Linked DNA regions of Xenopus tropicalis. The protein of the gene in region 3 purifies or fractionates together with the protein of the main gene of each other region. This does not show direct contact. Links are inferred from orthologs where the notes say so. Each region holds a gene or a part of one and is shown on either strand. Other genes may lie near its edges.

Region 1 (3,738 bases), on a different chromosome or scaffold from region 3:
TATTTATTCTGTGGATCACTTCATGGGTCTTAATGAAGCTTTTATGGGATATTTAAGCCTCTTACCTGCTCCACTGCGCACAATGTTCATAGAGGCAATGTCCTTCCACTCGTCTGTCTCTGGATAATAACACTCTGCTGAATTCAGCCTGTTTGTTCCATCAAACCCACCAACTGCATACAGCAGCCTGTTCAGTACGGCCACTCCCACTCCGATTCGTCGAGTCTTCATTGGCGATACCATGTGCCACTCATCTCTCTCTGGGTCATATCTGGGAGCAAAGGAAAGGTGTGTAAGGTTCCAACAAAGCCTGCAAGCACCTGTGTGCCAATATTGCTGAGCGATCACTATGTAGTACAAATATCAGTCACTTGGGTATAGTAGGGAGAGATGCAGTGGGGGGGATAATAGCCTCTGGGAAGGGACTGGGGCTGTGGGATAGCAGGTATAGTAGGGAGAGATGGTGCCTATAGTAGCAGTGGGGGATAATAGCCTCTGGGAAGGGACTGGGGCTGTGGGATAGCAGGTATAGTAGGGAGAGATGGTGCCTATAGTAGCAGTGGGGGATAATAGCCTCTGGGAAGGGACTGGGGCTGTGGGATAGCAGGTATAGTAGGGAGAGATAGTGCCTATAGTAGCAGTGGGATAATAGCCTCTGGGAAGGGACCGGGGCTGTGGGATAGCAGGTATAGTAGGGAGAGATGGTGCCTATAGTAGCAGTGGGGGGATAATAGCCTCTGGGAAGGGACTGGGGCTGTGGGATAGCAGGTATAGTAGGGAGAGATGGTGCCTATAGTAGCAGTGGGATAATAGCCTCTGGGAAGGGACTGGGGCTGTGGGATAGCAGGTATAGTAGGGAGAGATGGTGCCTATAGTAGCAGTGGGGAGATAATAGCCTCTGGTAAGGGACTGGGGCTGTGGGATAGCAGGTATAGTAGGGAGAGATGGTGCCTATAGTAGCAGTGGGGGGGATAATACCCTCTGGGAAGGGACTGGGGCTGTGGGATAGCAGGTATAGTAGGGAGAGATGGTGCCTATAGTAGCAGTGGGGGGATAATAGCCTCTGGGAAGGGACTGGGGCTGTGGGATAGCAGGTATAGTAGGGAGAGATGGTGCCTATAGTAGCAGTGGGGGGATAATAGCCCCTGGGAAGGGACTGGGGCTGTGGGATAGCAGGTATAGTAGGGAGAGATGGTGCCTATAGTAGCAGTGGGGGGATAATAGCCTCTGGGAAGGGACTGGGGCTGTGGGATAGCAGGTATAGTAGGGAGAGATGGTGCCTATAGTAGCAGTGGGGGGATAATAGCCCCTGGGAAGGGACTGGGGCTGTGGGATAGCAGGTATAGTAGGGAGAGATGGTGCCTATAGTAGCAGTGGGGGATAATAGCCCCTGGGAAGGGACTGGGGCTGTGGGATAGCAGGTATAGTAGGGAGAGATGGTGCCTATAGTAGCAGTGGGATAATAGCCTCTGGGAAGGGACTGTGGGATAGCAGGTATAGTAGGGAGAGATGGTGCCTATAGTAGCAGTGGGATAATAGCCTCTGGGAAGGGACTGGGGGATAGCAGGTATAGTAGGGAGAGATGGTGCCTATATTAGCAGTGGGATAATAGCCTCTGGGAAGGGACTGGGGCTGTGGGATAGCAGGTATAGTAGGGCCATGAGTTTGACAGTCCTACTTTATAAATAATAGCTGGGCCCAGCAATGTCTATTTTTACCCCAGGGCAGAGCTATTCTGGCATTAGCTGTATAACTGGCACAATCCTCAACCCCAGGACGTACCAGAATGTATTTTCTACAATCAGCCCTGCATGGCCTTTTCTGGCCATAAATCTTTGGTTCTACTCAGCAGAAAGCTGGCACTGTACCCGCACGTATAAACACTGCAAGCCCAGTGCCAGGACCTGGAGAGAGCCTACAGCTATGTTTGGAAGTCTGAGGCTTTCCAGTGGGCGGAGAAGGTTACAGAGAGCCCTGAGCGGCTGTTCCTAAATACACTGTGCATAACCACGGTCCCTGAGTGAGAGAACAAGCTGACACGGTGCAAATCAGTCCCAGGCCCTGATACAGTACGGGGAAGGCTCCCACTAGCCAAAGTTTGCAGGCTAATTTATTACAAGCCCTGCGGACATTGGCCCTGCAGTAAAATTCTTTTAAACACCCTTGCCCCCTTTAGGACCCCATTCTACCCACTGGCAATGACCACCCGTCCAACTGTGATCCTGGCACCCTGAATAGGCTCACCTTTCCACACTGTTGTGATGGAGACATCCATGAGATCCTCCCACTGCATAGATCTGCCCGTCGATGACGCCAGCGCCTACCCTGTTCCTAGGCACACTCATGGCAGCACATGGTGACCACTGGTTGTTCATGGGATTGTAGCAGTCCAGGGCACCAGAGTCTTTATTGCAGTCGGGGGCATTATTTCGGCCTCCCACAGCATAGAAGAGGCCCCCCAAAACACAACCTGCAAGGCCGCTCCTGGGCATCTCCAAGGAAGCCAGGGTCAGCCATTCCCCGTCGACCGGGTTGTAAGCCTCGAGAAAACTGAGGGACTGCCGATAATATCCTCCTGCCACGTAAATGAACTGAGGGACATTGGGGATGCGCCCCTGGAGAGGCAGAGTGGGTTTATGGAGAGTAAGGTCCTGGAAGATCTGAGACAGGTAGTCCTGACAGCGAGAGTCCCCTTTGAGTATCTCACAGCGCTGGAGTTGCAGCTGTAAGAAGTTGGGCGTCAGGGAGTGGCACCGCACCGCCCGCAACAGTGCCTGAATGTACGGCCGCCTGTTCTCACAGTCGTATTTGACCCAGTTTATACAGGCGTGAAAAACCTCCGACTCACATCGCACATTCAGCTCATCCCGGCTTACGAGGTTCACCAGCTGGCAACTGGACAGGTTAAAGAACTCCTCCTGCTTGGCAACCTGAAACAGGAGAGAAGAGGGGTTAGAGCGATGGAACGTGGGCGAGAAGAGGGGTCAGAGCGAGGGAACGTGGGCAAGAAGAGGGGTCAGAGCGAGGGAACGTGGGCAAGAAGAGGGGTCAGAGCGAGGGAACGCAGGAGACAAGAGGAGTCAGTGCGAGGGAATGTGGGAGAGATGAGGGGTCAGAGCGAGGGAATGTGGGAGAGATGGAGGGTCAGAGCGAGGGAATGTGGGAGAGATGAGGGGTCAGAGCGAGGGAATGTGGGAGAGATGGAGGGTCAGAGCGAGGGAATGTGGGAGAGATGGAGGGTCAGAGCGAGGGAATGTGGGAGAGATGGAGGGTCAGAGCGAGGGAATGTGGGAGAGATGAGGGGTCAGAGCGAGGGAACGCAGGAGACAAGAGGAGTCAGAGCGAGGGAACGTGGGAGAGAAGAGGGGTCAGAGCGAGGGAACGTGGGCAAGAAGAGGGGTCAGAGCGAGGGAACGTGGGAGAGAAGAGGGGTCAGAGTGAGGGAACATGGGCAAGTAGAGGGGTCAGAGCGAGGGAACGTGGGAGAGCAGAGGGGTCAGAGTGAGGGAACGTGGGAGAGAAGAGGGGTCAGAGTGGAGAATGTGGGCAAGTAGAGGGGTCAGAGCGAGGGAACGTGGGAGAGAAGAGGGGTCAGAGCGAGGGAACGTGGGAGAGCAGAGGGGTCAGAGTGAGGGAACATGGGAGAGAAGAGGGGTCAGAGTGGAGAATGTGGGCAAGAAAAGGGGTCAAAGCGAGGGAACATGGGTGAGAAGAGGGGTCAGAGCGAGGGAACATGGG
Region 2 (2,523 bases), on a different chromosome or scaffold from region 3:
AACAGCCCTATTGGGTTTATTTCATGGTTAAATGATTCCCTTTTCTCTGTAATAATAAAACAGTACCTGTACTTGATCCCAACTAAGATATAATTACCCCTTATTGGGGCAGAACAGCCCTATTGGGTTTATTTAATGGATAAATGATTCCCTTTTCTCTGTAATAATAAAACAGTACCTGTACTTGATCCCAACTAAGATATAATTACCCCTTATTGGGGGCAGAACAGCCCTATTGGGTTTATTCAATGGTTAAATGATTCCCTTTTCTCTGTAATAATAAAACAGTACCTGTACTTGATCCCAACTAAGATATAATTACCCCTTATTGGGGGCAGAACAGCCCTATTGGGTTTATTTAATGGTTAAATGATTCCCTTTTCTCTGTAATAATAAAACAGTACCTGTACTTGATCCCATTACAGAGAAAAAGGAAATCATTTTCAAAAATGTTAATTATTTGCTTATAATAGAGTCTATGGGAGACAGCCTTTCCGTAATTCGGGACTTTCTGGATAATGGGTCCCACACCTGTACTCAAAATCACAGTTACTCCCATGACAGTCTACACAGTATTGTAATTCATCATCTCCTAAAAGGGTCTGAAATACATAGTATTTGTCATAGTTCTGCTTTATTCAGAGCCCCGAATGCAGTTTGATTTGAACCAATCACTGTTATTCTTAACAAAAAAAGACAAAAACAAAAAAAAGACTTTGTATTGTTGTTGTGTATATTCATTGTGTATTAAAATACATTTACATGCTGTTTGGTAACATTAGACTAGGGCTTGTCGGATATACCCTCACTGCTTATTATAGGCTGTCCCACTAGGGTATTTTACAGAACCAATGAAAAGTCTTTGACAACCAAAATTAAAAGAAAAAAAAAAAAAAAAAAAAGGGGAAATTGTCCTGTTAAAATATCAGTAGATAAAATAAACAAAAGGGAACAATGCACATATAAATGGTTAAATAAAGGTCCAGTCATGTAGCCCATAACAACAAGCTGTCATTACTGCACCCGTTAGTTGCTATGGGCTACCAAACTGGCCCACATTTTGAAAACATTTTTGAATTAACCCCTGTATTTGTATTTTTCCCCCCAATTAAAGGGACAGCGTTCCCTACTTACAAGTAGGTTATATCTTCCATTTAAAGGTTCGGAGAAGCAGAATACAAAGCAACAAGAACGTATCCTCCTTGATTAAGTCTTATGTATTGTTACTACCTAAGTGCTCAAACAGGAATACTCTAAGCTCCGGAATACTCTACCTCTACGCGGTGCATTTTTACATTGTTAAATGCGTTAGCTATTTCCGTAGTAAAATAGATTACATATATAAACAATCCTGAAGGCTGACATATACATAGCACGGTTGTAGCATGGAGAGAGCGTGACTTTTCTTTTATTATTGCAACTTCCTGGTCAATTTTACCAGCCTTTTTTAAAAAAAAATTCCTTTTTATCCAGAACGCATCAGGGGTGGGCGTAAGGAGCGGTGGAGGTTAAAAATGGCGGCGTCTTGAGTCCTATCTGGCGTAGACAGATACGTTTCAGTGTTTGGTGGAACGCTACGGTGAGATCCCGCCGGCATGCAATCTGGTTGGTTCACAAATAAAACACTCCCCTTTTTTCGACCCAGAGAAATGGAAGATAAACGATGATTGTGCACTGCATGACAAGATGAGAAACTTTGGTTCATGCATGGCATTCTCCCCGAACTCGTCTCTGGAACATCCGTCTGAACGTTCCGTTAAAATCAGCCGGCGCCCGCGTCTCGCCTTCTCAGCCGTTCTCCTTCCACAGCACCAAATGGATACTGTGGTCCGGCATGCTTGTGGCAAAGACCAAACCTATGTCGTTCATCCCGTCTAGGCCGTTTAACCAGGCTATTTCCCCCGCCAAAAAGCTGGAACCCCTCTTGGACTTTCTGTATTCCGGCAGAGGCCAGCGGCTGATCAGTTTCTCTGTCCGTAAATCCATTATGTATAAGTTATGGTTGTCAAACAGCAGAGCAAAGATGTCGCCGAAGCCAAGTAGGGAGAGGTTGGTAGAATCTGGCATCTTGATGATTCTATAACAAAAAAAATGTAATTTGAAATAACAATGGAAGAAAAAAAAAAAAACATGAATTTTAAACTTGTGTTTAATGCCCAACATACCTTTTGCCTATTGATTTAATAAAGAAGTATCTATAGTGGTTCATTTTTTGAATTAAAAAGGGCAAATAAAATTGAAATTTAGCCCCATTTCAACTTCCTGGTATGAGCTTCTTAAAGGAACAGTAACATCAAAAAATTAAAGTGTTTTAAAGTAATTAAAATATAATGTGCTGTTGCTCTGCAAAAAACTGGTGTTTTTGCTACAGAAAAGCTACTATATAAATAAGCTGCTGTGTAGCCCCAGGGGCAGCCATTCAAGATGGAAAAAAGGAGAAAAGGCACAGGTTACATAGCAGATAACTAGTACATAAGCCCCATATAATGGGGGTTTATCTGTTATCTGCTAAGTAACCTGTGC
Region 3 (3,600 bases):
GTAGTTTGGAGTAGACAGACAGTTTTAACCTATTCTCCATTCCTCAGAATCTGTTCTTTCCAAAAATGTATAATTTTCTGGTATAAACCTTCTGAAATGTAGGTGTTAAAATCTTAAGTATGCAAGCTTTCTGGAGCAGTGCTTTGGAAATTTGGTAGGTAGTGTACCGCTGGGAATTTTTGAATCACACAAATGAGAAATCGACATAAAACTATATATATATTTGGTGCTGGCACATTCAGGAGACATGGGACTTTCCGAATCAGTTGTATTTTTGTGCATAAAATCATTTGTTTCTTTTATATGTGTTTATATTACGGAAAACGTGTTGTTGTTTTTTTGTTGTTTTTGTTTTTTTTAATCTTTTAGACATTAAGAAGCCTATATCTTGTTCCAGAATTGGAATCACACAAAAATTCTACCATATTTTGAAATCTTAGGTCGCCCCCCCCCCCAAAAAAAAAAGATATATTGTTTTCCTGTGTAAACTAAAAGTCCCCCCAAGGAAAGGCCCTAAGAGTGCAAAATGTTTCAAAACAGTCTGGCAATACAAGTTCTGCTTTGACCAAATCAGCTGGCAGTGAAAGGGTTAACTGTTCAATACAGAAATATTTTGCTTAACCAGAACACCACAGCCCCTTAGTGAATACGAACAGATGAAAAGGCTAGCTTGCTTAAATCTGTACATTTTACTTCCCTCAAGGAGCATGTGCCTACGCCTTTAAATAAATTCTCTCCAAGCCTGCAGACCGCAGCTCTTCCTCGTTACCGTCTTCCGCCCCCACACACATTACTAACACGCCCCAAACTGTGCGCCTTTAATGCTAATCACATGACCAAGGCATCAGCCCAGCTTTCGGCGCATGCGCCATATAGACCCGGAATTTCCTCTTTTCAAAATGGCAGCCGCAATGGATGTAGACACACCAAGCGGAACGAATAACAGCGCTAGTAAGAAGCGCTTTGAGGTTAAGAAGGTAAGTGTGCTTGCTTGCGTATGTTATGGATGTAGCAAATGATCAGAACAGTCTTTCTAACTAATACTTAAAGAGGGCGACAGTGCAGCAGCTGATACTATTCAGCTAGATTGCTTGCGCCCTAAAGCTTTTTAGATGTTTGATTGACGTGTTTTCCGCCGAATCAAATGTTAAACCCTAATACTTAGGGCGGTCCGTTTTGGCAAAGCGGTGATTTCTGTCGTTCCGGCGGCCCAATAGCGGATAGCTACTGATGCCACAAACGATTGGATGAATTCTAACCAATGTAAGTGCCCCTCTCAGCTGCACTGGGAGGCGGGATCATGTAGCCGCACTTCACGAGTTTGCGGGGGAGCTGTAGGGCCACAGACATTGCGTGGTCTCATTTGCTCATTTGTTTCCCTGGAGGAGGCAGGGAATGTGTCTTGGGCTTTTAGCGGTGTGAGAGCAAGAAACGGGGCTATTTGATAAAAAATAAATTGTTGAACAAGTAAATGTAGGGGTCAAATGACTTGCATTTAGCACATGTAGGGGTATATTAATCATGCTGTGTAAAAAGTGGAGTGAAGCATTATCAGTGGTGTTGAGCTGGGTAACCAATCGGCTATTAGATTTCAACAGTTCTGATTGGCTGCTATAAACTTCATCGGTGATGTTTTACTCCACTTTTTGCACAGCATGATATATATACCCCTACGGTACAGGAGCTGTGAATATGCATTCTCACAGCGTGATGATTTTGCCACCATAGTTCTGCAGGGCATGGTGTGTTTAGCTTACAGTATCAAACATGGTGTATGTGCCATTGTTGGTGTATGTTGCCATTACAGCCTCCTCTCCCTCAGACCCTGCATACCCTATACTTAAAGGAAAACTATACTCCGAAACAATGTAGGTCTCTAAATATGTATTGCATATACAAGCTCATATGTAAAACCCTACTTCATCCAAAAAAGCCATTCTCATATAAATATACTTTTTTTTGTAGTATGTGCCACTGGGTAAGCCTAAATGAAGGCTGGGGCCAACTGGGCTTTTTCCCCAGTGTCCCGTAGCCCAGTCCAACCCTGATTAACAGTGGCTTTCTTTCTTCCACTACTGGGCAGTATTTGTTGTATTTATAGCCTTTCCAATTTCAGCCACAGAGTTGTCATGGGTCTCTTAGTGACCTTCTACATTATTCTTCTCCTTGCACATTCACTCTCTTTTCGTGGATGGCCTGTTCCTGGCAGATTTACAGCTATGCCATACCCTTTCAGTTTCTAAATGATAGATGTAACTGTATGTCCAGTTATAGTTAGAGACTTGGAAATTTTCCTATTTCCATCCCCCAACTTGTGCTTTAAATCACCTTTTTATGGAGTTGCTTAGAGGGTCCTTCTCCCTTCATGTTATAGATCAGTTATCCCCAACCAGTGGCTCATGAGCAACATGTTGCTCACCACCCCCTTTAATGTTGCTTCCAGTGGCCTCAAAACAGGTGTTTATTTCTTAATGTCTAATTTGAAGGCAAGTTTTGTAGGCATAAAGACCATCTGTACTGCCAAATAGTCTCCTTTATTCTGCCAGTTTGCATTGGGCTACCAAATAACCAATCACAGCCCTTATTTGTCACTTTTATCATGATTGTGTTGCTCCCCAACTTTTTATATATTTTTTTTTTTTTAATTTGAGTGAATTAGTGAAAAGTATATGTTTATGGTATAGACACTTTATTTGTTAGAAATAAGCTCCTGATGGAGCTGTTGTATACAGTCTGACCTGAGATTACTGTTAAAAAAAAAAAAAAAAAAAAAAGGGGGGGGGGGGTCATCAAGACGACACTCTTATCCAGCTCTGTGTGAGGCTACATGTTGAGGTAACAGGGTCTGCCAAGCATCTAGGCCAGAGGCAGGCCAAGCCGACCGGGCACCTAGGCAACCTGGTCGGCCACCTTACCCCTGCACCCTCCCATGCATAATACCCACGTGCAGTGAAGGAAATGACAAGTTAGTGCAGACTAGGGGGAGGCAGGAGAGGTACCTGTCTGGCACCCATTATTCCGGCCCTGATCTAGGCACATTGATATTGGTGCCTTCATTGAGCCACATTTGGGCCACGTTTAACCATTCCAGTAAGACTCCAAAGCCATTGTCTGGTAAAACTGGCTAAACTAGTAAATCGAACATACCGGTAATTCTATACACATGAACCAACTTAGAGCAGATTGTGCTAAGTGATTAGATGAGTTTTAAAACATATTTAATTTATTGCCAAAATTTACATCACTTTAACTTTTTTTTCTTTTTTGTTGCAGTGGAATGCAGTTGCCCTTTGGGCCTGGGACATTGTAGTGGACAATTGTGCCATCTGCAGGAACCACATCATGGACTTGTGTAAGTTTCCTTAATTGAACTTTAGCCGATAAAACAACTGTTGTCTGTAAGCAACATTTTAGTTAGTCCCAGTGCTTATATATACATTTATCTTTGAAAAAGTGAATAACCCCTTTGAATGGTACAAATGCAGAAAATAAAAATAATCCTCTTGTATCTTCTAGGCATAGAGTGCCAAGCAAACCAAGCTTCTGCTACTTCTGAGGAATGCACTGTGGCATGGGGTGTGTGTAATGTAAGTAGCTTTG

The links.
Region 1: the proteins of rbx1 (region 3) and keap1 purify together in Homo sapiens (affinity purification with western blotting; 6 studies listed by BioGRID). This does not show direct contact. The link is inferred for Xenopus tropicalis from reciprocal best matches to the Homo sapiens genes RBX1 and KEAP1.
Region 2: the proteins of rbx1 (region 3) and fbxw2 purify together in Homo sapiens (affinity purification with western blotting; 3 studies listed by BioGRID and IntAct, with this or other methods). This does not show direct contact. The link is inferred for Xenopus tropicalis from reciprocal best matches to the Homo sapiens genes RBX1 and FBXW2.

Annotation. Positions count from the first base shown.
Region 1 is NC_030679.2:138,040,338-138,044,075, forward strand, and holds part of keap1 (kelch-like ECH-associated protein 1), read right to left. Parts: intron 2,931-3,738; coding exon 2,245-2,930; intron 272-2,244; coding exon 66-271; intron 1-65. UniProt on the Homo sapiens protein: Substrate-specific adapter of a BCR (BTB-CUL3-RBX1) E3 ubiquitin ligase complex that regulates the response to oxidative stress by targeting NFE2L2/NRF2 for ubiquitination.
Region 2 is NC_030684.2:8,637,422-8,639,944, forward strand, and holds the end of fbxw2 (F-box/WD repeat-containing protein 2), read right to left. Parts: intron 2,078-2,523; coding exon 1,789-2,077; 3' UTR 713-1,788; downstream 1-712. UniProt on the Homo sapiens protein: Substrate-recognition component of the SCF (SKP1-CUL1-F-box protein)-type E3 ubiquitin ligase complex.
Region 3 is NC_030680.2:115,969,955-115,973,554, reverse strand, and holds the start of rbx1 (E3 ubiquitin-protein ligase RBX1), read left to right. Parts: upstream 1-854; 5' UTR 855-863; coding exon 864-977; intron 978-3,273; coding exon 3,274-3,352; intron 3,353-3,516; coding exon 3,517-3,587; intron 3,588-3,600. UniProt on the Homo sapiens protein: E3 ubiquitin ligase component of multiple cullin-RING-based E3 ubiquitin-protein ligase (CRLs) complexes which mediate the ubiquitination and subsequent proteasomal degradation of target proteins, including proteins involved in cell cycle progression, signal transduction, transcription and transcription-coupled nucleotide excision repair.